2 linked regions of the Alligator mississippiensis genome follow. The protein of the gene in region 1 purifies or fractionates together with the protein of each later gene. This does not show direct contact. Links are inferred from orthologs where the notes say so. Each region holds a gene or a part of one and is shown on either strand. Other genes may lie near its edges.

Region 1 (15,156 bases):
GTCTTCTGTATCTAGCCCCATACAAGTTACTAACACGATATTTGGACCACTAGCTGAGGGGAGAAGTTATTTAGTTAGCTCCATCCAGGCTACTATGTCTGGCTGTTCCCACAGCTAATCTGGAGATGAAAGGTAACTTTGGAGCTCACAAACCCTAGAAAATGGGAGGGTCGTTTGAAATCAACTTGTCACAGCCTCAGAGAGGAATACTTAGGGAGTCCAACCTCAAGCCATGTCTGTCTATGAAGCTTATGCTTGCCTAAGTTTTATCAGCTAGCATCAGTCCACTTTGCATAATTTTTGCACTTTGCTTGCATCAACTAGATCCTACATGGAATTTGGGTATATACCCTGTGCAACTGGGTTGTACTAACCACTTCATTCCTGCAGCTCAGGACAGCAGCCACAGTCTTCTCCCCAGTTGTTGCAAAACTCACCAAAGTTGCCTGAAAATGGAAGGAGCAGAAATAAGAACATGTTCAGAGACTTAAACTAAGCAGGAATTAAGAAGAGTGGTCCCCACTGTAGTGAAGTGAATTGAACTGCAGACGAGTTTGAGTGGAAAGGGAGCCAACAACCCTAACAGATTTCTTCATAATCCCCGAGCACAATCACTGAGGATTTACCTTATCTCTAATTAGCCAGAACAGGTTACAATCCTTTGTAGCCACTAGCCCACTGGAACTACCAGCACCCACAGTATTAAGGCTCTTTGCCCAGCCCAAGTCCGGTATTAGTAAACTTACTCTATGTTTACAACTGTCAGCAGCACAATGTCCCTAAACTGATTTTAAAAACAACATAGGTGAGATAACTGCTGCTGTAGAAGGCATAATTGAAACTCAGTGTATTTTTTCATAATGTTTAATGCGTGATTTATACAGGAACTTGTTTCCCCGATGAACGTAGCCAGTCCTACTCTCAAATCCACTGAAATTTCAACTTCAGTTCAGTTCCATCGCAATATTTGCCTTGTTTACCTGCTGGAAGTCCCGGAGGTGACTTAACAGGCCATGTTTGTACTGTAGCAATGTGAAGCGACTTGAAGATAGCTGCAGGAAAAATTGAGTCCGGGAGACACTGACAGGACTGGGTTGGGTGGTTAATATCCTCGGCTGAAATCTGTCAGCAAATTCCAGGTCAAGTGACTGGGAGAAGGAACAAAAAAAAAGGGGGAAATTGAAATTCTTAGACAACCAGAACAGATGCATCCCTTCCCCACAAGCAATCCAAGCTTTACAAAGAGTTAGGCCAGTGGTTCTGAATCTACCATGGCCCAATGACCTACCATTGAGGTAGACTACATCAGGCTATAGGTAGAGGCACAGTGAGGACCTCTGGAGTGTCTATAAGGTTCCCAACTGACACTGCAGGAAGGACCAGTTCCCATGACAAGACATCACAGGAAAAGTTGAAGAACTAAAAACATGGGCACAGAAACTACCATTAGATAGAGAGGATGCGATCTCTTCTCCCTCCACCAAATTATTCTGGTATGTATTAAAGTCTCCTCCCCCAGTACACACACACGCTGGACACTCCTGAAATTGGTGACCCTGACTTTGGTACTCTGGATTGGCTAAGTGAACCTCAAGTAAGCTGTGCGTGGAAGACTATTTGAGGGTGGCTTACCTGTAGCGGGATTTGTTTCATCTCGTGTTCAGTCTCCAGAGATAGAGCATAGAGTGAATGTGTATCGGTGTCCACACACACCAGCACTGCCTCCCCTATGACATTACAGGCACCACTCAGGCTCTTCATCCAGGGGGCTGAAACTCTTATCTGTTGGGCAAGAAAGATATGGCAGGTTTGCAAACCTACAAAGAAATTCCAAGGGGAAACTTGGCTGTGTCAGTTTGCTTCCATCTTGCTGGATAGCACGCGGTCCATGGCTTAGTGTGCACGTCAACACTTGTCTTAGTTACGCCAATAAAAGCCAACATAAAAAACCAGAAGAATTTAATTTATCAACCAAGAGTGCATCATTTTAACCTGTAACTCAAGGAGAAATTGTCATCAATCTGACACCGAAACCTAACTGCTCTCAACTTTGCCGTGAGTCCACCAAACTTTGAAGACATGCAGTTGTAAATTCAGCTTCTGGGTCCCCATGCTATTCCATGGGGAGAGGATAACATCTCATCCATGTATCATCAACAGAGTTAAACTTCCCTAGCTACCGTGCTAAAGATGAGAGTACTTTTGGTACACAGGACCCATTCTAGAGCCAATATGGTGACAAGAGTTCCCATCCTGAATCAACAAAATCTACCTGTTTTGAAATGTCTCCATCCTCCAGGCTGAAGGTCAGAATGTTCAAATGGCTTCGAGGAACAAATCCAATGGAATATATCACCCCGGTTCCATAGGAATACAACAGCTGGTACTGGGCGCTCTCACTGTGAGAAAAGCAGCAGCAACAAATCACGTTGTACAGCACTCAAACCTGTGCTTAAAGCTCCCTGTTCTACAGCCCTGTTCAATGTTGACATAAGCCTCACAAGGAAAGACTGTGTAAACCACCAAAAATGTAGTCAACCAGAAAAATTCTTCACATTGACACAAACATGCCTTAGGAATTCCTTTTCCTCAGTTTTATGTTCCAGTGCCCCATATAGTAGGCCCCGACATTCTGACTGGAAGCTGCTATGGTGCAAAGTGGCTTGCTATAGTCAATACAGTTCTTTTATTAGTAGCTTCCTGCTCCTGACTGATTTCTGTTCCACTGCCCTAAGATACTACATGACTGCTCTCTCGAGTCTGTAAGTACTGTATTATGCACAAATCACAACACCCATAGTTTATAATCTGCCAGCACTAAAAAGCCAGCAAAAAGAAATGTGCCCATTCATTTTGATGCACTAGCCCCCACTTCCCTCCCGATATTAGGCAGATGGACACTCTCTTCATACAGTCCCTCTCTCGAGATCTATATGCTCACAGAGATATAACAGGAGAAGGAACAAACCCCTACATTTGGTTGATGACATACATGCACAGTTAAAAAAGCACACAGGTACCACAGTAGAAAACAGGCTCTGAACCAGTGATCTGTATGTGATCCTCAAGTACTTTGTTTCAGATTTTTACCTTTCTGGTAAATGCTCCGCCCATTTCTGGTGTCCATTGGAAAGGTAATGAAGAGAGAGGGCAGACTTCTTCAGGACAGCCACGTACTTCGCCACATCCTGCAGACCTACTAAACTAGCCACCTGGAAACTAAGCACATATCAGAAATGGGGAGTGAAGTGATGAACACAGAGATACTACCTAGCTCCTGGAGCCATAGCAACCACTAAGTAACAGAAAACAGCCATCTTCTTCCCCACCACAGTAGCTATGACCAACATTTTTCCCCCCCAAAAAATAGCTACCCTCCATTCTGTACAGTTGACAGTGTAGAACTTTAACAGACAGCTCTCTAGAGATAGACACTATGGACTGATTTCAAAGTGATTTCAATCACAGTTTCAATCAACAAGCAGGAAACTCTAATCTAACTCAGGGTTTTAATTGTGTCTTGCATCTGACAAGCCCAGATACAAAATCTTTAGCCTCATTTTGATGTAGATTTAAAAAAAAAAAAAAAAGGCAGTTCACTCTCCTGCCAAGATTCCCTCCTCTTCAAGCTGGTCAGCAGCAAGAACTATACCAGGTTACTACAGGGTCAAGTATTAAACTTCCTTTTAACAACAAACTGCAAATTCAGCAGCCCTCCAATAATCCCTCGGGTGTCATATTAGCGACATTTGAGCTACTTTCCTTAAAATATACCTACAGGGAAAGCAAATTTCCCCTTCTGAATTAACGGTCTACTCAAGAGTTCCCACCTGCCAGTGTCCAGTGATGTTTCCCAGTTCAGTCCTCCAATGTTTGTCTCCCAGGAACGCAGAATACGCCCACCATTGGACACAGTAATGGCATCTGGAATTGGCATGAGAACAACCCTATTACTGTTTTGTTGACTTCATTAACTATTTCATTGCTAATTCTACAAATTACTGTTCTACTCACACCAGAAGGACAGTACAACACATCTGGCATATGCAGTTACCCAACTGTCAGCTGGTCAGCTGCACAGCAGTGAGGGTGGTCACGATGTAATTTCCAGACAATGCTGTGTGTTGTAAGTCACTTTATTCCTGGCACTAAAGGCCCAGGGGGATGAGCACAAATCATAAAAAACATTTTGTGTAGCTGTAGTCCTAGCCTGCACCACATGGCAAATCCAACACAGCAGAGCAGTAAGAAATAATGCTCATCCACACAGAAGAGGAAAGGCCAAGAAGTAAGTACACATTAACAACGTCTGTCCCCACCACAGGATCAAAGCCATGAGCTCTAGCACATTTAGCCCTGTATCGAATCCTCAGTTATAATTCTGTAAAACCAAACACGTGTCACACTGGAAGGCCTAAATGCTTTGCTTACCCTGTCCATGGATCAGCATGGCATCTATAGCTCCTTCAGGAGTCCCTTTATCCACATGGCGCCACACTGAAAGAAACAAGGCATCAAGTAAGAACAAGCTTCCATCTCCCCACGCGTACATTAGAATCGCCTCCATCTCCTTTCCAATGTCATGCTGATAAAAGGTACCAGGTGACAGTGCTACAGACTGACAACATCTGTTCAACCACAGAGCAGGTACAACATGAGCAACACCAACACAAACTTTCACATAACTGCCTCTGAAATGTGCCTCATCTGTAACCTGGAAGAATAAGTCTGAGGGATGAAAGAGAGGAGTTCAAATGTCATGCCCCATTTAGTTTTTGGTCCCACTATGTTGGTTAAGAACAGATCTAGATATAAGCAAAGGCACAGACATGCCATATCAGCATCTAATCAATTGATATTTGAAGATGGGAAACAAAGCCCCTGGGCATGAAAAAAATAAAACTGACAAATGCAGAGAGAGAAACATGCAGGCTCCTGTCTCTAGAAAAGCTAAAGCCATGTCTCATTCACCACATTTACCACTTAATTCATGTTAAGAGGGGTAAAGTTCAAGCTTTGAAACAAACTGTAATTTTTCAATTTGAATATCTATCATGGCTTAATTTTGGCCCCACATGTGCTAGTTGCAATGTGAGGTAGTAAACAGCCTAACATGTAAAGCCATGCTCCACTCACAGATTTCTCCATTTCTGGAATTCAAAGCAGCCATCACGTTTTTCTCCGTTGCCACAATAAGCTTCTTGGACCCTTGCGAGGCTTCCAAGGAGGCAAACTTGAGCTTTCCCACATACTGCTGTCTCCTAAGGAAGAAAAGATTCAGTAAAGGTGTAAGAAACAAAAAGAACGTATTGCACGAACCCCCTTCTTGGGGGCCTTCAAGAGGAGGCTGGATAGATATCTGGCTGGGGTATTATGATCCCTACACTCGTTCCTGCAGGGGGTCGGACTTGATGATCTGTTCAGGTCCCTTCTGACCCTAGAAACTGTGAATAGGAAAAGGATGATAAAAATTAGAGTACAGGTACTCCTCACTTATTGTTGTTCCGTTATTACGTTGCTGATCTATTAGGGAACATACTCGTTTAAAGTCGCGCAATGTTCAGTTATAGCGTTGTTTGGTTGCCGCCTGCTAACAGGTAACTACCGTGACGTAACTGGACTCGTTTAAAGTCGCATAGTTCAAGAGCGTAAGTACGACGTTAAGCGAGGAGCACCTGTACATGACTATAACACAAAAGACAGGGCAATCACGAATGCCATTGATGAGGACTGGCAGAGAGCAAGCAGACCGATTTCCTTCTTAGTTGTGGGGTGGAGAAAATCACTTCAGAGAGAAGCTGAACTCTGACGGCCTGGGACTCGATGCCAAACCCAATTCTACAGAAGTTCAGACTGAGCTAGAGTGACAGTTCAGACTTGAAAGACTTCAGGTACCCCTTGGAAAATGCAAGCTTTGTTTTTGGGTTTTCTTTGGGGTTTTTGTTTTGTTTTTTTAATACAGAAAAATTATAGAGCAATTCTTCTGTTGCAAAAACTCAGAAAAACCACAACGGGTCGGACTCCTTTTAACGCTATGAATCCCTGCGCTAAATCCCTGGGTTCACCTCGCGGATCGTGTTTGCACCCCTAACAGCACTGATATTGTGCAGCACCCCATGGCACCCTTTTCTGTCCTCACCGAATATTTCAGTTGAAATACTCGTGGCTATTGGGACATAACATTAACATGAGGGTACTTTTTAATTATATATTTTTTTGTCCTCATTGAATATTTCAGTTGAAATACTCACGGCTATTGGGACATAACATTAACAGGGGGGTACTTTTTAATTATATTTTTTGGCCCCACTGAATATTTCAGTTGACATACGTACTTGCGGCTATTGGGACATACCATTAACACAAGGGTACTTTTTAATTTTATGTTTTTATTCTCACTGAATATTTCACTTAAATCCTTGTGGCTAAATGGGACATAAAATGAACCTTTTTATGTCCCAACAGCCACAAGGATTTGATTGGGGCGGGGGGGGGGGGGGGGGAATTAAATGCACCACACTTAATGGGGTTGAAATATTATATTCAAACAAATGCCAAGCTTTTATGTGGAAAGAAATTATTTTTTCTATAATAAGGTCACACTAGCGTGTCCTTCCTTTACACTGTTTGCTTAAATTGAAGGAAAACAACCCAAAACAACGGCAGTGAACCCTGTCCCGCGGGCGTCACACCGTGCCAGCCTCCACTCGTGGTAGCGAGGCGTGTTGTGAGGCGAGGGCCGCTTACAAATGGATAATGAAGCGCTGGGAAACTGCCTCCCCACGTGTGTGCCGGGGGTGGCTGGTCCAAGCGCCCCCCAGCCCGTGTCCCGTGTCCGCACGCACCAGTCAAACTTGCCCACTTGGTCCTCGTACACGGCAGCCACCACCAGCGGCGACAGCAGCAGAAGCGGCACCCACAGGCGCGCACCGCCCGCCATGACGGCCCGCCGCGATCCCGGCAGCCCCCGCGGCGCCGGAAGCCGGAAGCGGGCGCCGCTCAGGCACCTGAGCGGGCAACCCCCGCGGACTCCCAGCAGCCCCCGCGGCGGAGGGGTCCTGGCGGCGGCGCAACGTGCGAGCCATGCCCAAGTCCAAGCGTGACAAGAAGGGTGAGTACCCCCCGCACCGCACCGCACCCACGTTGCGTTGAAGCGCGTTAGGAGCCGGCCACCCGCGTATTAGGGGGTAGGGGGGGACAACACTGGGTTGTATTCCTCGTTGTATCCCGCTTTGATTGATTGGGAGTGTGGCCAGGCCATGCTTCAACATGAGATCGGTGGGTTCATCGCAGCATAAGCGTGACGTCTGTCAGGGAGCCCCCCGGGAAAACCAGTCCGAAGCTTTCCCACGTAGGCGGTGCTGCGGCCGCCTGTGCGCTGTGTGAAAGCCCCTACCTCGGCGAGGTGCTCTCAGCCAGCTCCCGGCAAAATCCCCTTTCAGCGGCGATCGTGATGATAATTATTGTCATCATTTTCGGGCCCCCCCTTCTGTCCGGGTGAGACGACGTTCCGGTTTTGTGCTACCCTGTCCTCTCTTGATACGAAACCCCGGCGCCTTGATGTCTTCTGTTTTTCTCTTGAAGAATGAGAACACGTTTTTCTCTTCGAGACACAAACGGATGACATCAAGGCGTTCGGTTTCGTATCGACGGAGGACCGCCGGCCTGTCCTCTTTGACGGTCATGCCAGGGTCCAGGTGCCTGAGTCCAGCCTTAGGGACGCCCCGACCCTAAAACCTTGCGAACGGTCAGCAGGACACGGCTGTGGTGAGACTGAATCAAAACCGTCAGTGTCAGGTTGATGTCTAAGCGCCCTGTGTCCACTAGTGCACTTTGTAGTCCTGTTTCACGTAAGCAGCAGCCAGCTTATCGCTTCTACTGACGCAGGTTTTCTTTTCTTTTCCCAGTTTCCTTGACAAAAACCACAAAGAAAGGTTTAGAAGCCAAACAGAACTTAATAGAAGAGGTAAGAGCGCACGTCCGAGGAGCTGGGTGTGAATTCCTGGTGTGTGTTACAGAGAAACACAACCTTACCATCTTCCCTGGTACTGACTTCTACCAGGGTCCAAGCTGTGGAGTTAATGTATGGGTTCAGTTTAATATTTATGGGTTCAGTTTAATGTCTGATACATCTTCAATGGGAGGACGTTAAAGTCCAGAATATCTGATACATCCTCGATGTGAGGAGTTTATATGAAATGGATTTTTGGGGCTGGGACGTAGACTCGGAACTTGCTCCATCCACGCCACGAAAAGAAAATTATGGGTTCTCTCATATATTTTGGGAAATCCTATGTTTATACGGTTGTTTAATGCAGAGTCTGATAGTTTCCCAGTTGAACAGTTCAAATGAGGAAAGCTCACATTAAAAAAAAAAGTTGTATCATTACCAGTACCTGCTGGGGGACGGGGGGTTAGCAATGTGTGTATAAAATCCTAAATACTGCTTCTACCCCATTATCTTTATGCTGATTATGTGTATTGGTGTGAAGTGGGAAATCTTCTTCCACTGTTCATAGCAACTGCATGTCGTGCTTTCTTACAGCTGCGGAAATGTGTGGATACCTACAGATACGTCTTTATTTTCTCTGTTGCCAACATGAGAAACAACAAGCTAAAAGACATCAGAACTGCCTGGAAACACAGCAGGTAAGGAGCAGTTTCTCAAATGTCTTCCCTTGTGATTGATGCTTCTGCATGTTGCATTCTAAGTTTGCGCAGAGCTTAAGCGGGTTTCTGTACATAATTCAGGGGCAGGGACAGAGGCATGGGCTGCATGTGGTGCTTGTGCCAGGCAGGCCCAGCATGCTGGACCCAGACTGGACTGGATCGGGCCCATAAACTGGCTTCACGCACACTGTTTATAGTACATGACCTGGACCAGCTCCACAGGCTCTATGCGAGGCGGGGGCAGGTGCATGCTGCATACTGTGCCTGGGGATGGAGCTGGCACATGCGGTGCAAATGGGAAGCGTTGCCAATCCAGGGCACACACAGCAGGTGGGCTGGATCCAGCTAGATGAGTTTGACACCCCAGCTATAAAATATTTAATTTGGTACCATGTGACATTTTGATTTCAGTGTTAGCACTACACAATACCAAGAAAGTATGTAATATGTGTATGTTAAAAACCAGCCAGCTGACATCTCGGTGGGAATGGCCACTAAATGGAGATGTGTCTAGTGGAGTCCCACAGGAATAAGTACTGGGTTTGATTGGAAAAGATGCAGAGAACCATAAAAATTATTTAAAGGTCAGATAAAGTGTGTGTCATTCAGGAAAGGACTCTTGTTTTCTTGAAATTTGTTACAATAGGAGAAGTCTCGACACTCCCTTTCCATTTAGCAATATCAGAAAGGAAGACAGTTGTGACTTAGATAAAGAATGCTTATCTTGATCCATGATTAATTATCTCTGGTGTACTGAGATATGGAGTCTTGCAGTTTAGTTTACTTTTTTTTTTTTAAAGGATATTTTTTGGAAAAAATAAAGTCATGATGGTGGCCCTGGGCCGAGGTCCAGCTGATGAGTACAAGGAGAACTTGCACAAGGTAGGTTCTGACTCCTGGAGTTTTTGCACTTGTGTTTCGGAAGTAACCTCTGCTTTGTGTAAACCTCTAAGAGGGAAATGCTAGAACTGCTGTAAACAACCAGACTGGATCGGTATTTTTCCATCTGCCATAAATAGGGTTAATAATTAGATGGGAAGATCTTTAGGGCAGGGACTGTCTGCTCCATGTTTGTTCAGCACCTAGGGAAGTGAGTCTGTTACTGGGACACCTACGTGCTACCAGAAGAATAATACTACAAAGTCAGCCTTTCATTAATTTGTTGCATCTTCAGTTGAGTGAACTTTGACCTGGAAACTTTGGGATGATATGGCCCCATTTCCAGTCTGGGCAACCTCTGATACTAGCTGCCACCTAGTATAGCTCCACTCGCTATACATCAGTTTGAGTGCAGCGAAGGATTTATCCTTCGGTGTACATAAGGACAAGTGCACGAAGATGAAACAGGAATTCCCTTTCCCAGCCCCAGGACACTGAATAGGGTGCCAGGCTCATAGGATGTTCAGTCGGGAGACATTCCTTAATAGTACTATAGCAACTCTATCCTGTGTAATCCTTTTGCAGCAAAAATAAGAAGACTGTCCCATGGGAACTACAGAGACCCCCTATGATAGACAGGCTTTCAATTTTGTTAGTCCTGTTGCTGAACCAGGACTGGAACTGGTTCTGGGAATCTTCCCAGCATCCAGTATTCAAGCTTTAAAAAAATGTGGTGTCTCAACCCCGTGGAATTCTGCAGTTTGAAAAATTAAACTTGGATGCTAAGAGCCCCAACATGAGAGTAGATCTTAGTGACTTCCCAAAATCAGGTTCTCATACTTTTCCTTATGGACCTCCCAGGGAGCTTGATTTCCATCCAATCCCCCAACCCAATGATTCACAACCCTTTCTCTCCTCTCATGACTTAACAATCATCCTTCACAGCCTACTATGGGTATGTTCTTCTAAAGCGTGGCTTTCCTCAACCAGGGGAGAAGTTTCCTCTCAGGAGGAAAATTCATGCAATCATATCCTTAATTTAACCGTCCCAACATCAATCGCCCTGCAGAGGAATGCAAGAAACTTTAGGATTGTTTAGTTGCTATCTGCATATGGGAGGGTAGGGCCCTCTGTGATTTATACAAGCTCTGTCAAGTTCCACCACAGCCTGGATATATTCTTTTGTTTTGAAGGGTCTTTGGCACTGCTCATAAATATACTGCTGTATTTCATGTGGCTCTCATTTTCCAGATCAGCAAATATCTGCGAGGTGAAGTTGGTCTCCTTTTTACCAATCGTACCACAAATGAAGTGAATGAGTAAGTATTACTGCAGGCAAACTGAGCCTAATGACAGAGGGTCTTCATTTTACTGGGAATATGACTGTTAATAAAGCATCTTGATAGAGAATTAAAGTGCAGACCAAGAGCCTCTTCCCTCTCAGTGAAATGAAAGCTATTGTTGGGCAGCTGATCTCTAGTTCATCTTGGTGTAGATCTCACTCTTAGCCTTCAGGACATTTTCAAACAGCAGCAAGGCACCAGAGTCCTACCTCTGATAACAGAGAGAAGTGCAAACTGTCTTCCGGTGTTGTCTGACTGCAGAGGAGACAACATGGAAGCAGATAATCTGGCCTGTCATTCACTCCAGCCGGACTATACAGAGGAATCTGTTAGGGAATTATTGTGAACTCTGCTGGGAAGGGATGAGTTTCTTTAATGATGTTTTAGGGAACCTTGCGAATTTGCTCCCTACAAAGCTATTTTTTCCATCAAAAACAGGTGGAATATCAACAAACTCAGTTACCACACCCTTCTCTCCCTCCATCACTAACTCCCCAAAAAAATAGAAGGCTCTGCCCTCAGAGCCTTCTATAAACTAACAAAGAGCTAGAGGCTCAGGCAATAATTCTTAAAGCAATTTGCTCTCTTACGTGGAAGGCATGTGGTGCCACAGTGGTGAACATCAGTAGAAAACCATAATGAGGTGCTGCTTTTGCTCTGTCTTTGCTTCTTGGGGGTAGAGGAGGTACTAGTCCAGACTGATTCTTCCCACGTGAGACTTTAGTGAGTGGTGACTTCACAGACAGCTAATGCTCTTGCTCCCTGGTTTTCTCTCCTAGATGGTTCTCAGAGTTCAAAGAGATGGACTTTGCCCGTGCAGGTAACAAAGCACCATACACAGTGAGTCTGGACACAGGGCCCCTGGAGCAATTTCCCCACTCCATGGAGCCTCAGTTACGACAGCTGGGACTGCCAACTGCTTTGAAGAAAGGTATTTGGGGCAGGGGCCTTGCAGTTAGTCTACCCTTACTGAATTTTCCTTTAAACCTTGGTAGCATTTCTGTACGTGTCTTATACACGTGGGGTCTCACAAGGAGAACTAGACAACAGAAGCAGATGTTCCGTGGGGAACATCTGATATAAGTCCCCTTTAATTTCATATTTGTTTTTATATCATAACCTTCTGGCATGGGTGAGTCCAGGCACCTGACAAAGGCTCCATTCGCAAGGTGCTTTTCTTTTTCAAGCCAGTTGGCTGGTGACAACCTGACCTGACCTACAGATAACAAGGATTTCTCAACTGGAAAATAACATTTGTGTCATGCTATGTCTTTGCAAAAAATAACACATGGAGTATTTTGTTGATTTCCCTCCTCCAAATTCCTTTGGTAGAAACAGGCTGAACTGATATTTGCATGAAAATGAGTAAGCCATGAACAAGACTTCAGGCACTTGTTTCACATCTGTCATTTTCTGACTACATAACAATAGATCAATCACAGGGTTCACCTTTGTCTGTGACAGACTAGTTTCAAGAATTAATCTATTTAAAGCAGGCCTCGATCAAAATCAAACCAGTTTTGAAGGACAGAGGGAAAAATCAGAATAAATGGTAAACTTAAGTAAGAACCATCACTGAAACTGCTGGATGAAAGCGAGTGCAAGTAGCTTCATTACAATGTTGGTAGCAAAAGTCCCGGATAGGAAGTTTCAAGTGACCTCAGTGGTCCTCTGCCTCAAGTGCCATTCATCCCACCTTCCTTTTTCCATGTTCTTGCAGGAGTGGTGACACTGCTTTCAGATTATGAAGTCTGTAAGGAGGGGGATGTCCTGACTCCTGAACAGGCTCGTCTGTTGGTGAGTAACATACTTCCAGCACATCTGCACAGCTGCCATTCAGCAAAAGTCAGCATTTGTCATTATACTATCCACTAAAAGTCCTGCTCTGAATGCCAGGTTGGTTTGGATATGAAGATAAATTCTGTACCTTGAAGCCATTTGGGCTCAAGTGACATGAGTGCAGTTATGTAGGGACCAATCAGGATGTCGGGTAGCTACTGTTTGTTACAGCTTGATATGCTTTCTAAAAACCGTTTGCCCCGTAAGCAACAATGCTTGACAGGGAATTAATGACCTGCTTGAAAAACTGATAATCCAAGGGACAACTGTGGGAGCCCAGCTGCTGACTAATGTTCAAGAGGCAAGTTATTGCTTCTTTGTAAAAACAGAGGAAAATTACTAGGTTCAAGTTCCCTATATGGCCAGGGTATTGCTAAATGAGTTGTGCATAACAGCTGACCTCATTCCTAGACCCTAACCTTCACACTGTAGTCAGCTTACAGCAGGAATTATGGGAACAGCAATAAAAGTACTTACCATGTAGCAAATGGACAAAGAAAACTATCTGCATATAGGTGATTGTTGTAGTTCATTTGCCAACATGCCTCTCCAAAAGTGAGCCTTTTAATTCCTACCTCACTCACCATCCCTATTTAAAAGTGGCTTCTACTATAAGTGTACAATTTAGGCACAAGGAGACTAGAACAATTAGTGATGATTTCCTGTTTCTTTTTTAGAAACTGTTTGGCTATGAGATGTCAGAGTTTAAAGTGACCATCAAATGCATGTGGAACTCTGAGACAGGAGACTTTCAGCAGCTGGCCAAAGACACAGAAGAACCAGAGGAAATGGAGGAAGAGGAGGAGGATGATGACGATGACTAGCAGCAAGGCTACTGAAGGACACTAGAGACAGTGTTGTTCTGTTTTAGGGACGATCAGTAGAAGCCTATGTTTCTCTCCCAGTTGGAGCAGGATGAAATTGAATATCTCGGACTTGTTATCTATCACGGAAGATGTAATTAAATTGTATATAAAAAATTACAGTTTGGACACTTTCAGTGCAGCTCATCACTGCTTGGATGGGAAACCCTGAGGCTGAGAGAGAGACCTTACAGAATCTGAGAACAGGGTAAAGATCATGTGGAAAATGAAACCCTTCCCTATAAATCTATTTTTCAGACTCAGTGAGTATGTGCACAAATCTACATTGCTACAATTTTTCCTCCTCGGAGAACTGCTTAGAACTTGTTGCTATGCAGTAGAGATGCAACTTCTCTCTAGAGTCACCCCGTAAGTCTATCAGTTTTAATGGGGGAAGATGCCAAACAGCTGTCACCACTATAGTTTCTCCCTGCTCCATCTCTCAGGCTATTTTAATTACACTTTCTCAAATGACTTGGTTTCCTTATTTTAGAGAGAAGGAAAATTATTTAAAACTGTAGGCAGTGGAATAAATGTTACTATTGAGGCAGAAGGGGAGGACATCATTTTGATGATACTATCACCTGACTTAATTATAATTAATGCATTTCACACATTAAGGGAACCTGGGCATAACTCCAGCCTTTACTGGTGGCATGCTGACAATTCAAAATGCCCCTCTAGGCAAGATAAAGTTAGTATTTCCCTCTTAAGCCAGGACCTCAGCCTAATGTCCAAATATCTTCCCAGTAGAATTGGGAGAAGACAATGGTATACAGCCATTAGTTACTGAACAAATGTAATGGTTCCTGTGCTTGAGTCTCCCGACAACAAAACAAAGATTGTTCCTTCAGTTATGCTCTTAAACATGTTTTAAGACGCCTGTAGCTGAGGCAGCAAGTATGTCAGCTAAACCCAGCTTCAAGAGGCCTAATTAATTGTTTAAAGGTCAGCCCTGATCGTTGAGAGGCTTGCTAAGTGTCACAGCTGGATTGGAAACAGAGGGCAACTGTGCATGTCCAGTAGCTATAACTGAAAATTAAATTAGCAGTTAGCAAAAAATAGCTTTCAGCAAACCTTCAATACAAAATTCACTATTAAACCAACATAATCCAGGTTAGAAAATGCTTTATTTTGACAGCGAAGACGCTGTCCAGATTGGAGACAGACAGTTAATTTCCACTTTAGTTCTCTTAACTGGTTTAGGATCCGTTCCTTAAATTACTTATATCACTGAATCATGATATGGTGTGTGATTGATTAGGACTGGCAAGAGCTGCAGTATTAAGAGATATTCAAGGCATTTTGGCCTTGAAAGAGGAAAAAAAGGTCAGACACTGTTGTGGTCCGTGAACTGAATACCACCAGTGTTCAGACAAGCTAGATTATGATCACATAAAAGATCTAATCATGTAGGAAAAAAACACTCGGCAGCACCAGGTGTCTATCAGGCAGAACCCATAGGACCAGGCCGGAAAAATCATCTGTCATTTTGGGAGGGGCGATGTGGTTTCAGACCTGGAGAGACTTTTGGTTACCACTCCCCGTGCAGACTTTCCTAC
Region 2 (15,616 bases), on another chromosome or scaffold:
AGTAACATGAGGCCACATGGAAGGCAATACCAGGGCATCTCTGAGATGAGTAACTATCTGGGATAAAGAAACCCAGAGGGTGGAGATCGGTGGGGGAGAGGGGGTGCCAACCCTAGAGTCAAGGAGAAAGGGCTGCCCAGCCTTTGATGTGCATCCTTGCAGAGAGAGAAAAGTAGCAAACAGAATAGGCTAGTGGCAATCAGGCGCTGTACCCAGCTTTACAGAGGTCAGTGGCCAAAGTGGTGCGGACAATCCCTGCTTAACACTGTTTCGCTTAGCGCTATTTCGCTATAACACTCGTTTTAAACTGATCCCCGATTCCACTTAGTGCTCTGCGAGTTTTGTTGTAACGCTCGCAGTCACCATCCTGGGTCATCAAAAACATTTGGTTTCTCTTAACCCTCGTTTTTCTGCTGCCAATGAAGGGCGCTAAGCGGGGGCGGCCTGTGCAGTGCGGCCTCACTGGTTCGCACTGATGACAGTGGAAACGATGCAAACCGGGGCCTGATCCAAAGCCTACCAAGGTCAGGTCAAGTCATTTCATTGTGTGCACGAGTACTGGGTACATCCAGCTCCCAATTCATGCCCTTCCTCCCAAAGCCGTTTCTAGTTGATGTGCAGAAAATGTGCAACTCGTGTACCGAATGCAGCCAGTGCTACACACTTTCAATGGAGGAGTCGTGCAAATCAAGGCCCCTCCATCACTTTTGTTAATTGAACGGCATCTAATTAAAAATAAATTCTTTAAGGACCCACTCCGCTCCCGTCCCGTCCCGCCCCCTGCGCTGCCCTCCCTCAACCTCGCGCGCCACTTTCCCGCGTCCCAGGCGACCACCGTAGCCCAGCCCCGTACGTGGCAGCGGGGCCTATGAGGGCGGCCCCGAGCCCGGAAGAGGCGTGGCCTGGACCGGAAGTGAGTCGCTAAGCTTAGCCATGTTGCGGGTGCTGGCGGGTCTCACGCTCGGTCACTTCGTGAGCATTGACGTGTATACTGAGGAGCTTCCCGGAGCGCGTCCCGGCCGGCACCAAGATGGGGCTCATCTTCGAGGTGGCCGAGGGCGGCTTCCTCGACATCGACGTGGAGGTGCGGACCGGGCCGGGCGGGGGCTGAGGGGCGCGGGGAGAGTGTGGAGGGCGCTGCCCTGGTCCTAGCCGGGGGAGCCGGCGTCTGCTCCCCCGCGCCAGCCCCGAGCCCTTGAGCAGGTTCCTGCGGGGTGGGTTTCATTGGAATGAAATCGGCTGAGATCCCTGGCCAGGAAGCCTCGGTTTAATCCTTGTTTTCGATAAACAGTGCATCCCTGGGTGAGAGACCCGTCACCCCGCGCTTTGCCATGCAAGAGCTGACGTCAGTTCTGTTCTTACGAGATCCCACTACACATTTATAATGCTGATTTGGAGTCTGATGGACTCGAAATGTTCTTGTCGTGGGATGTTTTTCAACTGCCCCAGCAAATGACGTTGCTTTGGCAACCACAGATGCCGGCATCTGTTAGGGTGGGCTGGATTTATGGCCGTTGTATGACGGGGAAAAAAAAAAGGTATTATACTGTGGCCAGGGCTGTTCCTAGGGGGGCGTGAATTGGGGTGACTGCCCCGGGCCCTGTGCTTTGAGGGGGAAGTGGGGGGAGCCACGGTCAGTGCTGTACAGGCCCCACCACGCACCGCCAGCTCTGCGCTTCGGTGGCTCGCCACCCCTCAGCCCCGCACAGGCTGCCCTGCACACCCCGAGGGACGGCTCTGACCATGGGAGAGGATTTAGTAGCGTTAAACCATGGGGGAGAGAAGTAAAGAAAACAATCAAATCCGATTTAAATTGGAGACCACAGAAGGTAACGTAACAAGGGTAAGAAACTGGGATCAGCGCTTCTAGTTTTGGGGACAGGAGCCTTAAGGACATGGTGGTCAGTACACTGGTTCCATTTCCTCTGCAACAATATAGAAACATGCATCCAGGAACAATAATGATTCATTACACTAAGTCATTGTTTTCTGAGGTATTTTTCTCTGCATTTATTCGCATTACAAACATTCAAGGTTGTAGGTAGACTAAAGCTTCAGTTATGACCTCAATACAATTTTTTTTGCGAGTGCAAGAGTTTTGCACATCTTGGTTGATAGAAAGGCATTCACATAGCTTCTTAAATAGGCGTTTTCTGAGTTATGATGCAAATTGGAAGAAAAATGTCATTTAGGATTGTAGTGTCTAGAGGGAATGTCTTGACTTTAGTTCGTTTGCTTCTCCTTATTTATTTTGTAATTTATGATTTCACTATTGTGTGCCTGTTGTGATATTATCTTTTTGCCTCCAGATTATAAGACCTGATAATCAAGTGATTTACAAAGTTGAAAGAGAATCCGATGGAAACTACACATTTACTGTTTGTTTCAGCAACAAAATCGGAGTTACCCTGATTCCTAAGATAGCGAACTTCACTATTGATATTGGAAAAGCTCCACACCACAAGGGCAAGACACAGAGACAGAAGGTGAGGAGAGCTTCTGGAAGGGAAATCGTTTTGCTCTCCTAGCATGTCAGTTCAAAACGCCTGCTAGAGATTGCAGAATTCCAAGACCTGTTCAGTCCATTGAGTTGGCTGGTTAAAGTGGATTTCAGCTAAAATGCTGAACGTTCAGTAACTTTAGATATGCCATAGTTGTTAGTTTTCTGTAATTGAAGTGGGTTTGGAGAGCATGCAAGGGTGGAGGAATCACTTCCTTATTACATTACAGCTAATGCATGACCTATAAATAAGAAATGTTGAGTGTGTTACACTAGGTAGTTGAATTCTGTGGTAAATAGATCAAATCATAATATTACTTAGAAAATCCCTACTAGTTCAGTACCTATTTTTAGCAAATATTTAACCCACATGTGATGTGAGAGCATGGTTTCTTCCCCCCCTCCCCCCCCCACTTAAGTTTCCTAATACTTTTGTTGATGAGAACATAAACGTACAGTTAAAGGATTCCCTCAAGTCTGGCTGTCACACTTATTGTGCAGAATACTGATACAAGGCTGGGTTCTCTTGTTGAAGGGGAGCGCTTGCCTGTGAGTACCTTTCAGCTTGTTTAGACATTAGAGTAAAGAATTCTTGTGGATGAGATCTATATGGTTGATATAGACATACACAATTGTAGAAGATCTGGCTTCTGATGTTCAAATGTTGCGGTCAGTCTGCCAGGACTTGATAGTCTCCCTTTCTGGAACTTACCCGCCATGCCTTGTTGTCAACAACATCCCCCCCAACTAAACCAAAAAACAAAAAGAAAGATGTAAAACTGAGGAGGTAGATCAGCTTGATCTTACTGCAACTTATCTGGCATTTGGCCTCTTTGCAGGGCTCCTCCATCCCCATACCCTGGCCTTAACATCCTAGGTGTTCTTCATCAAGGACCTTGTTTATGCTCTTAATCAGATACTCTAACTCAGCCCTGTTTTCTTCCTCCTCCAGGTAATTCTCCTCAAGCGCCTTCACTCACCACTAAGAATCCCTTTTGGATTCTGAGGAACCCTCTTGCATTCCGTCCAACGCCAGGTAAGTCAACTCTTCATTCTTCTACTTGCTGCTATCTTGGTCCGGCCAGGTAGGCACTGCACCTCCGTGCAGTGGTAGGAGATTTGCCCCTGCCTGCTTCCCCTCTCCGGGGAAGACATACGCCTGCTCAACCTGCCTGTTTCACCCTCCCACGGATCAATTATTCCTTCCCTAATCATAGTTTTGCGCATCCTGAATCAAAGTGCTGGCATAATCATGGAGCCAGTTTTCACCTGCATGCACCATGGGTTTTTGGAGCCCCTTTAGTTGCCCAAATCTACAATCCATTTGCTCCTGGTCCACCAGTTCTGTTACTCTTCTGTTTAACATTTCTGGCCCAGTCTCTCCCAGGTGCCTTCTTCACTGAGGACCTTGTTTACGCTCTTAATGAGAGATTCTAGCTCAGTCTTTGGTGTCTGAAATGGCAGGCGTAGCCAGTGATAGGACACACCCTCCCAAAGGGCCTTCACAGTCTAGTAAGTCGCAATATTGCTTATTCCCTTGTATTTCCCAGAGTACTCTGAATTCGTTCTAGGCAAATATTCCACGACTTAACTCATGGGCGATAGGGCTCTCGGGGTATCAGCTGGCACCGTTAGTTACCCATCAATATCCCTGGTGCCTCTGGCCCTTAATTAGCTCCATACTCAGAGGGTATTCCTTCTTCTCAGGGTTGGCCCTTATCTGTGCCCTGCTTTCTTTCATCCTTCAGGTAATTCTCCCAAAGCGCCTTCGCTCGCCACTAAAAATCCCCATCAGATGCAGAGGAACCCTCTTGCATTCAGTTTCACACCAGGCAAGTCAAATCTTTGCTCTTCTACTTGCTGCGGTGTCGGTCTGGCCAGGTAGGCACTGCACCTCTGTGCAGTTGCAGGAGACTCGCCCCTGCCAGCTTCCCCCCTCTAGGAAAAACACAAGCCTGCCCAACCTGGCATTTAACTCGCCTGGCTGTTTGAGCCTATCAGCATAACTTCCTGTTTGTCGCTTCTCCATGTCACGAGCCGGCACTGGTAATTAGAGTCCGGAGCTCCAGACCCCACCTTGGTAAGTATCTTAGCGTGCAGAGACTCTCCATTCTGTGGCATGTGCTTGTTTTTTAGCCTCTAAAAAAAACAAGGTTATGCCCTGCCACACCACATCTAAAATGAATCACTTCTTGACCAAATGCCATCCTTACTGGTCTTGGTACCCCTCTTATTCAGGTTTCTTTGCTATTCCCCTGGGTTTGAGGTTCTTCCCTTTTATTCCCACCTTCTCAGCTGCAGAAAAGGACTCAACCCATGAGGTCCCCGGTGCCTCTGGCCCTTAATTATCTGCATACTGGCAGGGAATTCCTTGGTCACAGGGTCGGCTCTTATCTGTGCCCTGTTTTCTTCCCTCCTCCAGGTAACTCTCCCGAAGCACCTTCAGTTACCACTAAGAATCCCCTTTGGATGCTGAGGAACCGTCTTGCATTCAGTCTCACGCCAGGTAAGTCAGATCTTCCCTCTTCTACTTGCTGCCATCTTGGTCTGGCCAGGTAGACACTGCAGCTCCGTGCAGTTGTAGGAGACTCACTCCTGCCTGCTTCCCTTCTCTGGGGAAAACGCATACTTGCCCGATCCACCGTTCAACTCTCCTTGCTGCTTAAGCCTATCAGCATAACTTCTGGTCTGCCACTTTTCCACACCACAGCTAGCCCTGGTAACTAGTCTGGAGCTCCAAACCCTGCCTTGGTAAGTAGCTTAGCAGGCAGAGACTCCTTGTTCCATGGAATCTGCTTGTTTTTAGTCTCTCGTGGCAGGGCATAACTGATGCTCTGTCACAGCAAGCTTTTTGTTGTTACTAGTCACTTCCTAGTTGGTGGATAAGAAAATACTTCAGCCCTGTCTTGGGTAAACATCTAGGTAATAATTTGAAGAAGACAGTCCAAGTAAAGAACTTGTGTACAGGCAGGATCAGGGCCCATCTCTTAAGTGAGTGTTTCTGGATGAGACCATTTCTGTCGCTGGGTCCTGGTGGGTAGTAGTTTAGTGGATGTGTAGTGTCAGAACCCAAGTGCCATAGTGGGTCAGACCAATGGTCCATCTAGCCCAGTATCCCATCTCTGACAGTGACAGAAATAGATGCTTTAGAGGGAGAGTATTGAACCCAATTCTGTAGAGTGATCTATCCCCTATCATCTGTGAATTTATCCAGTCCTCCTTTGAACCTGGCTATGCTACCTGCCTCCACCTCCTGTGACAATGAATTCTGTAAGTTAACTATGTATTGCCTGAAAAAGTTCTCAAGTATTTGCCACTACTATTTGTGTTAGCACAGGAGGCGTTGGATGAGAAGTAAGAGCCCTAGCCATAAATTAGAATTTCAGTGTGCTGGGGACTATTAATAGCACAGAGCAAGATGGTCCCTATGCCAAACAGCCAACTTTCTCTGACAACAAAGACAATGAGATATAGTGGGTTATGGTATCGGAACACCACCTGCTTAATTGCTGCTGTCAATTTTTTTAGGTTCCAGTTTTGTACCAGGAAGCACAAGGGCATCTGTGGCAGTCAGTGATGACTAGAAAATGATAGAGATTAGTTTTTAGGAACTAGCTTGTAGCTAGAGTAGGTATTGCATTGGAACAGTGGTTCAGGCTTAATTGGCAAAGGTTAATTGGTTTCTAAAAGCCTGTTTGTGACAGTTTCATAGCCTTCAGGGCAGATACCGTGTCCAAGGGCCAATGGACAAGCAGGTGTATGCATCCTGGGAATTTAAGAACATCCAAACTGTTCCATAACAAAAGATAGGCTTGCTGCATTGGCGCCAGGGTATAGTGCCCAGCTATAAAACCCCTGGGAATTCTGTTTTTGGTGGACTTACCAAACTAGGTTGGGGTTGCCCAAATTAAGACACGGGTAAATGACCAAATTAAGGTTGTATGCATATGATGGGTTTGTGGAACCAAATAATTATACTGGCAGAACAGAACGTGGATAGTATGACGACCACAGGGAAACCAACCGACGATACCCAGAAATGAAGAGTCATCAGAGGAGAGAGAATACAGAAGGAGTGATCCTGAGGCCACCATGTGCAGATGGCACACCACTAGCCCGTTTCACCCACCCCATTGTGGGGAGTGGTCATCAGCCTTCGACCTCTAGGCTGCTGATATCTGGCATACTTCAAGCTAAAACCACAGGGTAGTGTTTGTGTATTAGCCAGATATACTTTACTTTTCCTGTGTGACATCCTCAGGACTGGTAGATAAGTAGAACTAGGGTGGGGGTGTATTTTGTTTGCTTTGCTTACACTACTCTTATCTGCTATCACTGTGTATCAATAAAATTTGCCTATTATTGAATGGAAGAAGTTGTAGTTGGTCTGAGGCTTTGGGTCTGCCCAGAACAAGATATCAGGACTGGGTCATAAATCCACTGTCAACAGTCGCGAGGTCTTTATGCATACTAGAACATTGGGTCTCAACCTTTCTGGACTTGTGCAATGAGAGATGCCCCCTTGAGATACCATCCATGACTTTTGTGAACTGAGTAGCACCCAGTTTCAGAAACTGATTTATACATTACAATCAATGCTCACCTACTCGCAGAAGGGTGGAAGGTATTCAGGCAGGCCTGGGTTCATTGACTTAGCCTCTCTTTATCTCCTTACGCCTTGTTTATCGCCTCACGTCTTGGGGGGACTCTTAAGAGGTTTTGTTGGCATCCAAGGGTGCCCCGACCCCCTGGTTGAAAATGCTTTCCTTCTCTTGCTGGATTAATCCATGCTTTTTTATTCCCTTTTGGGTCTAAGCTGTCAAATACCACAACATAATCCCCCGAGTAATCTTACTAACATTAGCAGTAAGAATCTAATCTAATCTGGAGGTAATTTTCTCTTCATTTTCTCAATTATATGGATGTGTGTACATAACAGCAGACTTGTTAATAATTTTTTTTAGCTTGCAACTGTGTGAACATTACAGTGCCCCTAATAGTGTATCGAATGCTTTAGAGCTTAAACCAAACATCACACTGCCACTTATTTCTTACACTTCATGGTAAAAGGGTGGGGCAAAATGCAAAAACAATGGGATAGGATTGGGGGGGGGGGAAGAGTTTAAAAGAAAGGGTGTGAGTTACCGCTTCTAGATGATAGTCAGCATTTTATGTGCATGTATGATCAGCCTGAGAGGAATAGATAGTTTGAAGTCTAGTGGCATGTCTGTCCAAACCAATTATCCAAGCTCATCAGGAAGGTATTTTCAGATGGAGTTGGAACATAGGGTTTTTGCTTTCCTCAGTACTATGGGAAATTATTTGCATTCTTTTCTTCCCCAGTTCTTTACCTGTAGGCCATCAGAGCTGGGGGTTTGGGGGTACTCTGAGACTGCAGTACATCAAAAGAGCTGCAGCAGATGTTCCTGGGGACTCTTTGGAACTAATAGTTACCTGTGGATGCAAGAGCCTGGACTCAGTGGCCTGGGAGGCCTCTTCCACTCTTTTGTCCCCATGATTTACATCCAAACACTGCAGGGTTTGGACATAAATGAAGTCCGATAAGCAAATAAACTGATTCATTCCATGTTATCAGCATCACGTTATGTCCCATCACGAGTGGTAAAATCACCCAACTTCCCCATACATGTGTATCTCAAAGAAAACAGTCCCAAATGATTTGACAGCCTACTTCTTTGCATGACAAGAGTAACAAAAAAACTCCATCTAGACTATTCATCAGAAATCCACTTCCACAGTGTATGTTCATTAACATTTTATTGGAAAAGATAAGACCCAATACAGCCTAGAAAATGCATGAGAGTGAATAACAGCGCAGTCATCGCTTCCATGAATATAGTGCTTATGAAGGCATGAAAAGCAATAGTAATGTAAGACCACATGGAAGGCAATACCAGGGCATCTCAGAAATGAGTATATCTGGGATAAAGAAACCCAAGGGGTTGGAAGGGGCAGGGGGGTGCCAAACCCAGAGTCAGTGTGAAAGGGCTGCCCAACCTTGATGTGCATCCTTGCAGAGGGAGAAAAGTAGCAAACAGAATAGGCTGGTGGTAATTGGGGACCGTACCCAGCTGTGTGGCAAAAGTGTAGTAGAACCTCACTAGTTCACACTAATGACTGTGGAAACAATGCATATTAGGGCTGGATCCAAAGCCTACTAAGATCAGGTAAAGTAATTTAATTGTATCAAGGGGCTCTGGGTGACCTGTCACAGGGCAGGCACATCAAGCTCTCAATTAATTTTCTATTCGATGTGCACCGACAGCCCCAGTCTGCAACTTGCGTAACAAATGCAGCCAGTTCTACACACTTTCCATGGAGGATTCATGCAAATAGAGAACTGGTTTTCAGCCTCACTGATCTCAAGGCACTTTCAATAACTTGTTAATTCCAAATTTAAACAATCAATTTATATATTACAGTCCTCACCTCCCTGCTGAAGGCCCAGGCAGTAGGGATAGGGCAGGGGCAAGGCTCAGTTTGTGCTTATCTCCTCACACCTGGAGGCACCTTCAAGGTATCTGGTGGCCCCCCCGGGTAGTGCAGCACCCAAGCTGGAAATTGCGGCATTAGACCCTTGTTGGCGGTCACTGGCTGACACTGAGCTTCACTACACCTTCAGTGATAGGCGGCAAATATTCTCATTTCCATTAGTTATAAAATGCAGGCAAAACAGCATACAAGTTTCAGCAGAAACATGCAAGTTGCTAGGGAAAGCTTAACTCCATGCAGTTCCTGATCGCATGGGTTCTTTGGCCACTCCCCATTTATGTATTTGGGAACTTGGTCTCATCACGTTGTTGTATTAGAGCCTTTCAAGAACAACAAAAACTTGCACAGTCTTTTGTTCCTTTCTTATTTTGTGACTATTGTTGTTTCATTATCTTCCTCTTAAGAAGTGGAATTCAGAAGTGCCAACAAAATAGAAGTCGCTACTGTGAGCAGATGCTCACCCTCTCCTTCTCTCCATTGCTCCAGCAAGGGAGAGACAGGGCCTTGTTACAGCTTTAAATTAAAACTGGGTTGAAACCAGCTCTGGAGTTGTTATATGTTTTCAAGCACTAACTCGATAGCTGCTTGGGTCTTTTTATAGAATCATAGAAAATGAGGGTTGGAAAGGACCTCAGGAGGTCATACCTGGTCCAGCTCCGACGACACCTCCCAGCCCAGGGGTCTGCTACTGCAGAGCCCTCGAGGCCGGGCCCAGTCTCAAGTTTGTGGCGCTGTTCAGTGCACGAGCCCTTTAAATCCGCGCTGCGCGGTTTGGCCCCTTCTGCCCGCCGTCCGGTCCTCACGTGGCTACCGCCCCGCCCCCTGCGCTGCACGGAATCCCTCAGCCTCGCGCTCGGGTAGCGCCTCTTCACAGCGTCCCTCGCCGGCTGCCGTAGCGTAGTGTCGTACGTGGCAGCGGCTGCACCCGGGCCTATGAGCGGCGGCCCCGTGCCCGGAAGGGGCGCGGCCTGGGCCGGAAGTTCCCCCTCCCTTCTGTCCCGCCGCTCGGTCCCCGCTGGGCTCCGCCATGTCGCCGGTGCGGGCGCTGCTGGCGCTGCTGGCCGCGCTGGCGGCCCCCGCGGCCGGCTACTTCGTGAGCATCGACGCGCACGCCGAGGAGTGCTTCCTGGAGCGCGTCCCGTCCGGCACCAAGATGGGGCTCATCTTCGAGGTGGCCGAGGGCGGCTTCCTCGACATCGACGTGGAGGTGCGGGCCGGGCTGGGGGGCGCCGGGCGCCGTCTGCCGGGTCCCCGGACTCGCTCGAGAGCCCGTGGGCGCCGGGTAGCGCGCTCCTTTGTTCCCCCTGCTTGGCGCCCGTCTTATTGCCCTGCCATCTCCCTCCCTCCCGTCCCGGCTGTGTGCTCTACGTGTCCCCAGGAGCGGGAGGGGCGCGGCCGTCTGTGGGGGCCGAGACCCGCGTGCAAAGAGGCCTCTCGGCATAAGGAGTGCCCCCTTCCACAACAGAGCGGCTCAGTGGCTGGGGTGGGCCCACGTGCGAAGAGGCCTGTGGGCATCAGGCCCGTGCGCTGCTGCTGAATCGCTCCAAGGTGGAAAGGAAAGGGCTGTTGTGTGGAGAGCGGGAGGAGAGATGGAGTTTGCCAGCCCCCTGGAGCACGTTGCTGAGGAGCCGGGTGCCGCTCCTGCTGGCGGGTTCGTTGGGGGCCGGCAGGTTAGAGCGTGGGGCTGCAGTCGAGGCGAATCCAAAGGCTGCTGGGATGTTCGCGCGATCCCTGTGGAGGCCTGCTTGCAATTTCTATGTATTTGTTCGTGCCAGTCGGCTGAATTCCTGTTGGGCAGAAGCAGGGTCGGATCATCCGGCGCGGCTGCTGGTGACTAGAGCCTCCCGAGCCGCAGGAAAGGTTCAGTTGCTTCTGCAGAGCAGGCAGCCCGAGGCCAAACTGCCTTTTATTGTGTCGCGGTGTCGAAGCCCTGAGAGAGGGGGCAGCTCTGTGCAGTCACGTTGCTTACAGAATAGTTCTCTAAAAACTTGGCTTCTACGCTCAACCCTGCAATCGTCTTGTGAAAGTGCTGGAGATGAGGCTTAAGTTAGCAGAGGATGCGGCCTGGGGTTGCTTCTGGTACAATAGTGCTGATTAGTTTGGGTGATCATAAGGTTTTCTCTCTTGAGGCATGAATGGGAGTCTAATTTGAAATCAGTTTTGACAGACATCCTTTGAACGGTAGGCTTTTTTGTGGGGTTTTTTTTCCCCCCAACAAAAGCTTCTCTCGCGTTGTTTTGGAGTCTGATGGACTCTAAACATTCTTTTCATGGGATGTTTTTCAACTGCCCCTGCAAATGATATTGCTTCATCAACCGCAAATCGGTACTCTCTCAGGATGGACAGAAGTTTATGACACTTGTATTTAAAAAACATGTAGCAGTATTACACCATAGTTTGGAGAGGAAAGCGAAGAAAATTATCAAATCCAATTTAAATCGGAGACAACATGTAACAAGAAACTGGGGTCAGTGCTTGTAGTTTTGGGGACAAGAGTCTTAAGGATGTAGCTGTCAGTACATTGGTTCTATTTCTCTACAACAATATAGAAATATACACCTAAGAATGATAATGGTTTATTACAATAAGTATTTTTTTCTGACGTAAGGTTTCTGTATTTTCTCTGCAGTCATTTGCATTACTAACTTGCAAGGCTGTAGATAGACTGGAGCTTCAGTTATGACTGACTACAAATTTTTTTTGCTAGTGCTGCAAGAGTTTTGCATGTCTTGGCTGTTAAGAGAGGCATTCGCATAGCTTCTTAAATAGGTGTTTTCTGAGAGGTTCTGATGCAGATTGGGGAAATATCATCTAGGATTGCAGTATCTAGAGAGAATGTCTTGAGTTTAGTTTGTTTGCTTTTATTTCCTTTTAATTCAGGATTTCACTATTGTGCGCCTGTCCTGAAATGATCTCTTTGCCCCCAGATTACAGGACCTGATAATAAAGGGATTTACAAAGGGGATCGAGAATCCAGTGGAAAATACACATTTGCTGCTCACATGGATGGAACTTACAAGTTTTGCTTCAGCAACAGAATGTCCACCATGACTCCTAAAATAGTGATGTTCACTATTGATATTGGAGAAGCTCCAAAAGGGCAAGACATGGAGACAGAAGGTGAGGAGAGCTTCTGGAAGGGAAACGATTCTGACTTCCTTGTGCATCAGTCCAAAACACCTGCTAGAGATCTCAGACTGCCAAGACATTCATTCAGTCTATTAAGTTGGCAGCTAAAAAGGATCACAGTGTGTTTTAGATTACACTAAGCAACTTAAAGTGACCAGGGAACCGCTCAGCTATGTGCAGAAACTAATGCTTTCACCTTTAAGTCTTTTCCTCAGTTTCATTCTCTGATTTCCAGTTCACGTTCAGCAGTATCTAGATTACTGTGTACATGAGTTGAGGTCTTTGGATAAGTGTGCTAATATGTAGTTTTCTCTTAGCCATGTAAATTACTATTTTATCTGCAGCCTTTTGCCCTGTACTTGTGTTCATCTCTTACACTTTCCCCTAGGTGGTGGAGATACCTGGGATGGTATGTTTACAGCTTTTTGAAAGCTCCTTGGCATCTTGTCTTTTGCATATATTTATTCACTAACACCTAACTTATGCTTTTTCTCTTTAACATCTGTTTGTAGCATGAGAATGTCTTTTTATTAAACTACACAAAAGTAAGGTTTGATTCTGAGTGATGCTGAACACCTGCAGCTTCCTTTGAGAGGTTTAGGTCAACAGCATCTCTTGGGATAAGACCCTGGAACTCTTCATGAGCATTTGTCTTCTGGGGGTTATTTATGGCTATCAAGGAAACAAACATCCTCAGGAGTTTGTGTAAAGTGGAATTCAATTAAAACACTGAACATTCAGTTACTTTAGATATGCCATAGTTGTTAGTTTTCTGGTATTAAAGTGGGTTTGGAGGATTAAGGGCATGCAGGGCTGGAAGAATAATTTCCTTGTAATATTACAGCTAATGCATAACCTGCAAGTGAAAAATGTTGAGTATGGCATACGAGATAGTTGAATTCTGAGGTAAATAGATCGAATTGTAAAATTATTTGGAAGATTTCTAGCAGTTCAGTACCCCTTTTAGCAAATATTTAACCCATGTGTGATGTGAGAGCTTGGTTTTGCTTTTTTGCCCCCTGCCACCTCCCTCCCCACCAAGTACTTAACAACTTCCTAATTGCCTATGTTCTCATTCATAAAAGTTACAGTTAAAGGATTCCCACAAGTCTGACTGGCACACCTATTGTACAGAATACTGATACAAGGCTAGTTTCTCTTGCTTAAGGGAAGTGCTTGCCTGTAAGTATCTGTCATCTTGTTTAGACATTTGATAGAGTAAAGAGTTCTTGTGGATGATGTCTGTATGCTTGGTATAGACATACACAAGCTTTTGGGTATCACAGTACCCTTCCTCAGGCCTCTCTCATCTCCGCTCTTGATAAGAAGCTACCCATATTTCAGTAACCAATTGGCAGTGGGTGGTGTACCTGGATAACTGTAAGGTTAGCATTGCTATATTTTATAAAGATTTTTTTTTGAAAATGGCTCATAACTTGTATAATTTTTTTCATTATTTCTTAAAGAAGTGTGGATTTTGAACAGTTGTAATCCTTCTCTTGTTGAGAGAGAGAGAGAAAGGAGTTATATATAGCTGTTTAAAGTAGGATCTAAAGTCTCTGCTCGTTATATGCAGAAACAGTGTATGTTTTCCCTGGGGTCAAGTATTCCTTTCCTCCTGGCCCCCCCCCCCCCCCCCCCCCAAAAAAAAAAACCACAACAACAAACAAACCCCAAAAAACAAAACAAAAAAAGTCCTATACGTTGCTTATAGGCTATTCTAATAGTTAGTAGTGGAGTTCAGAGCCTCTGAATCAGTGAACTGAAACTCTTCTTGGTGCTAGAAAACTCTCATATAAGTTTCCACAGTCTATATGTTTATAGAGTTGGCTGTTAGTCTGAGGAGTGAAGGCAAGTAACAATTGGACTGTGGACCAGGTAAACCCCTGAATCCTGGATCTCCTGATTCTTTCACTTGCTGAAGCATCCAAAGCCAGTGTTCTGAATTTGAAAAGACAGAGGTTTTTCTTGAGCACTAATGTCCTTGTACCTCATGTATCCACTATAAACAAAGGTCAGAGAGGTAGCCAAGTGTATATCTTCAGAAATTCATTTTGTTTAGACACCATCATGAATTGAATTAAATTAAATTGTCAGTCACTGTGCTGTCAGGAAGGTAGCATTAAAATTCTGTATTATTTATTTGAAGATAATTTTATGGGATAGGCACTAACTGGCATGATATTAAATTGATTCCATGTGGTTAAATTTTGTACTCTGCTTCTCTGGAAGTGTATCTGTACTACGGACAGCCTGTCAGTATTGACTTTAAAAACACTTGCCTCTGCTCTCATCTCCAAGCTAGACATCATGGAGAAAGTGGTCCACTTAAAATAGGATTGTAAAGATAGTTTGAAATCGGTCGAACTATGCTTTGAATATTAAAGGTTCATAGAAGTATCATTCCCATTAGCGTCAACAGATATCTTTACAGAATTCTTTTTGCTACAAGGTGGAAAGCTTTCTGCTGTAGGGGGACCCTGAGTGTAGTATGGAGTCAAATATACCTGTTCATCTACTTTCAGGAGGAGGGTTGTTGTTTTTGTTTTTTTTTTTTGGGGGGGGGGGGGGGAAGGAGAGATCTCTATGATACAAACTCTGACACCTTTTGAATTATTCTGCAGCTCATCAGAACAAGCTAGAAGAGATGATTAATGAGTTAGCAGTGGCCATGACGGCTGTAAAGCATGAACAGGAATACATGGAAGTTCGCGAGAGAATACATAGAGCAAGTATGTGTTTCTGTTTGATTTGCATGCTGTTTAATCCTTTAACCTGCTGTGCATGGTAGAAGATGTTGAGCTTTAGGGAAACAATCAAGAAACTACCTCAGGTATTTGAGAGTTTGACAGTGTTCTGAAAAAGGTCGTCCTCTTGCTAATGAAAGAGACATCATCATGACACATTGAGACCTTCTTGCTAAATCAGGTGCTTTAATATTAAAAAAAATGGATTTGCTCCTGTGGTGCAACATCTGAAAGGTAATGCAGGAACTATTCATAGTTAGCAATGGCAGGTTCCTGAAGGTCTGAAAACAAGTGACCTATTTCCTGGTGAAAGGGTTTGGACAGATGTATCTGTTTGTCCTTGAAATACAGCACAGCAAAGTGGGCTTACTGTAATTGGCCAAATTATTTTGTGAGTAGTCCTTTTGATAGTGAAATTCTTACTACTCACAAGTACAGTGAATTAGGTTTGGGCCATGGTATGATCCAGTCTTCACTTTTGCTAGCGCTAAGCTAAGGAACGCATTAGAATAAGCCTGGCGCAAATAAAGAGGGAGCTATTTTTCCACCACTTGGATTAGTGCTGAATTTGTAAATATGCTCTGTATATTTATACAGACTTCCCCTCGTGCAGGGAGATTATGAACTGCCTAGCGAAGGAATTTTCAAAGAAAAGCATAAGCACAAGCTAGGGGAAAATATCAAGAGTAAGTTTGAGAGGGCATTGCTTAGATTAGCTCAGTTAAAT

Evidence for each region.
Region 2: the proteins of EMC1 (region 1) and TMED2 purify together in Homo sapiens (affinity purification with mass spectrometry; 3 studies listed by BioGRID and IntAct, with this or other methods). This does not show direct contact. The link is inferred for Alligator mississippiensis from reciprocal best matches to the Homo sapiens genes EMC1 and TMED2.

Annotation. Positions count from the first base shown.
Region 1 is NC_081836.1:4,885,684-4,900,839, forward strand, and holds the start of EMC1 (ER membrane protein complex subunit 1), read right to left. Parts: upstream 6,971-15,156; 5' UTR 6,941-6,970; coding exon 6,846-6,940; intron 5,262-6,845; coding exon 5,137-5,261; intron 4,498-5,136; coding exon 4,432-4,497; intron 3,925-4,431; coding exon 3,831-3,924; intron 3,220-3,830; coding exon 3,091-3,219; intron 2,400-3,090; coding exon 2,273-2,399; intron 1,783-2,272; coding exon 1,633-1,782; intron 1,149-1,632; coding exon 981-1,148; intron 447-980; coding exon 375-446; intron 1-374. Other genes in the region: MRTO4 (mRNA turnover protein 4 homolog), read left to right, coding at 7,084-7,111, 7,908-7,966, 8,546-8,649, 9,471-9,552, 10,801-10,868, 11,672-11,823, 12,613-12,689, 13,409-13,555. UniProt on the Homo sapiens protein: Part of the endoplasmic reticulum membrane protein complex (EMC) that enables the energy-independent insertion into endoplasmic reticulum membranes of newly synthesized membrane proteins.
Region 2 is NC_081833.1:5,922,153-5,937,768, forward strand, and holds the start of TMED2 (transmembrane emp24 domain-containing protein 2), read left to right. Parts: upstream 1-9,988; 5' UTR 9,989-10,040; coding exon 10,041-10,220; intron 10,221-11,940; coding exon 11,941-12,133; intron 12,134-14,766; coding exon 14,767-14,874; intron 14,875-15,616. UniProt on the Homo sapiens protein: Involved in vesicular protein trafficking. Mainly functions in the early secretory pathway but also in post-Golgi membranes.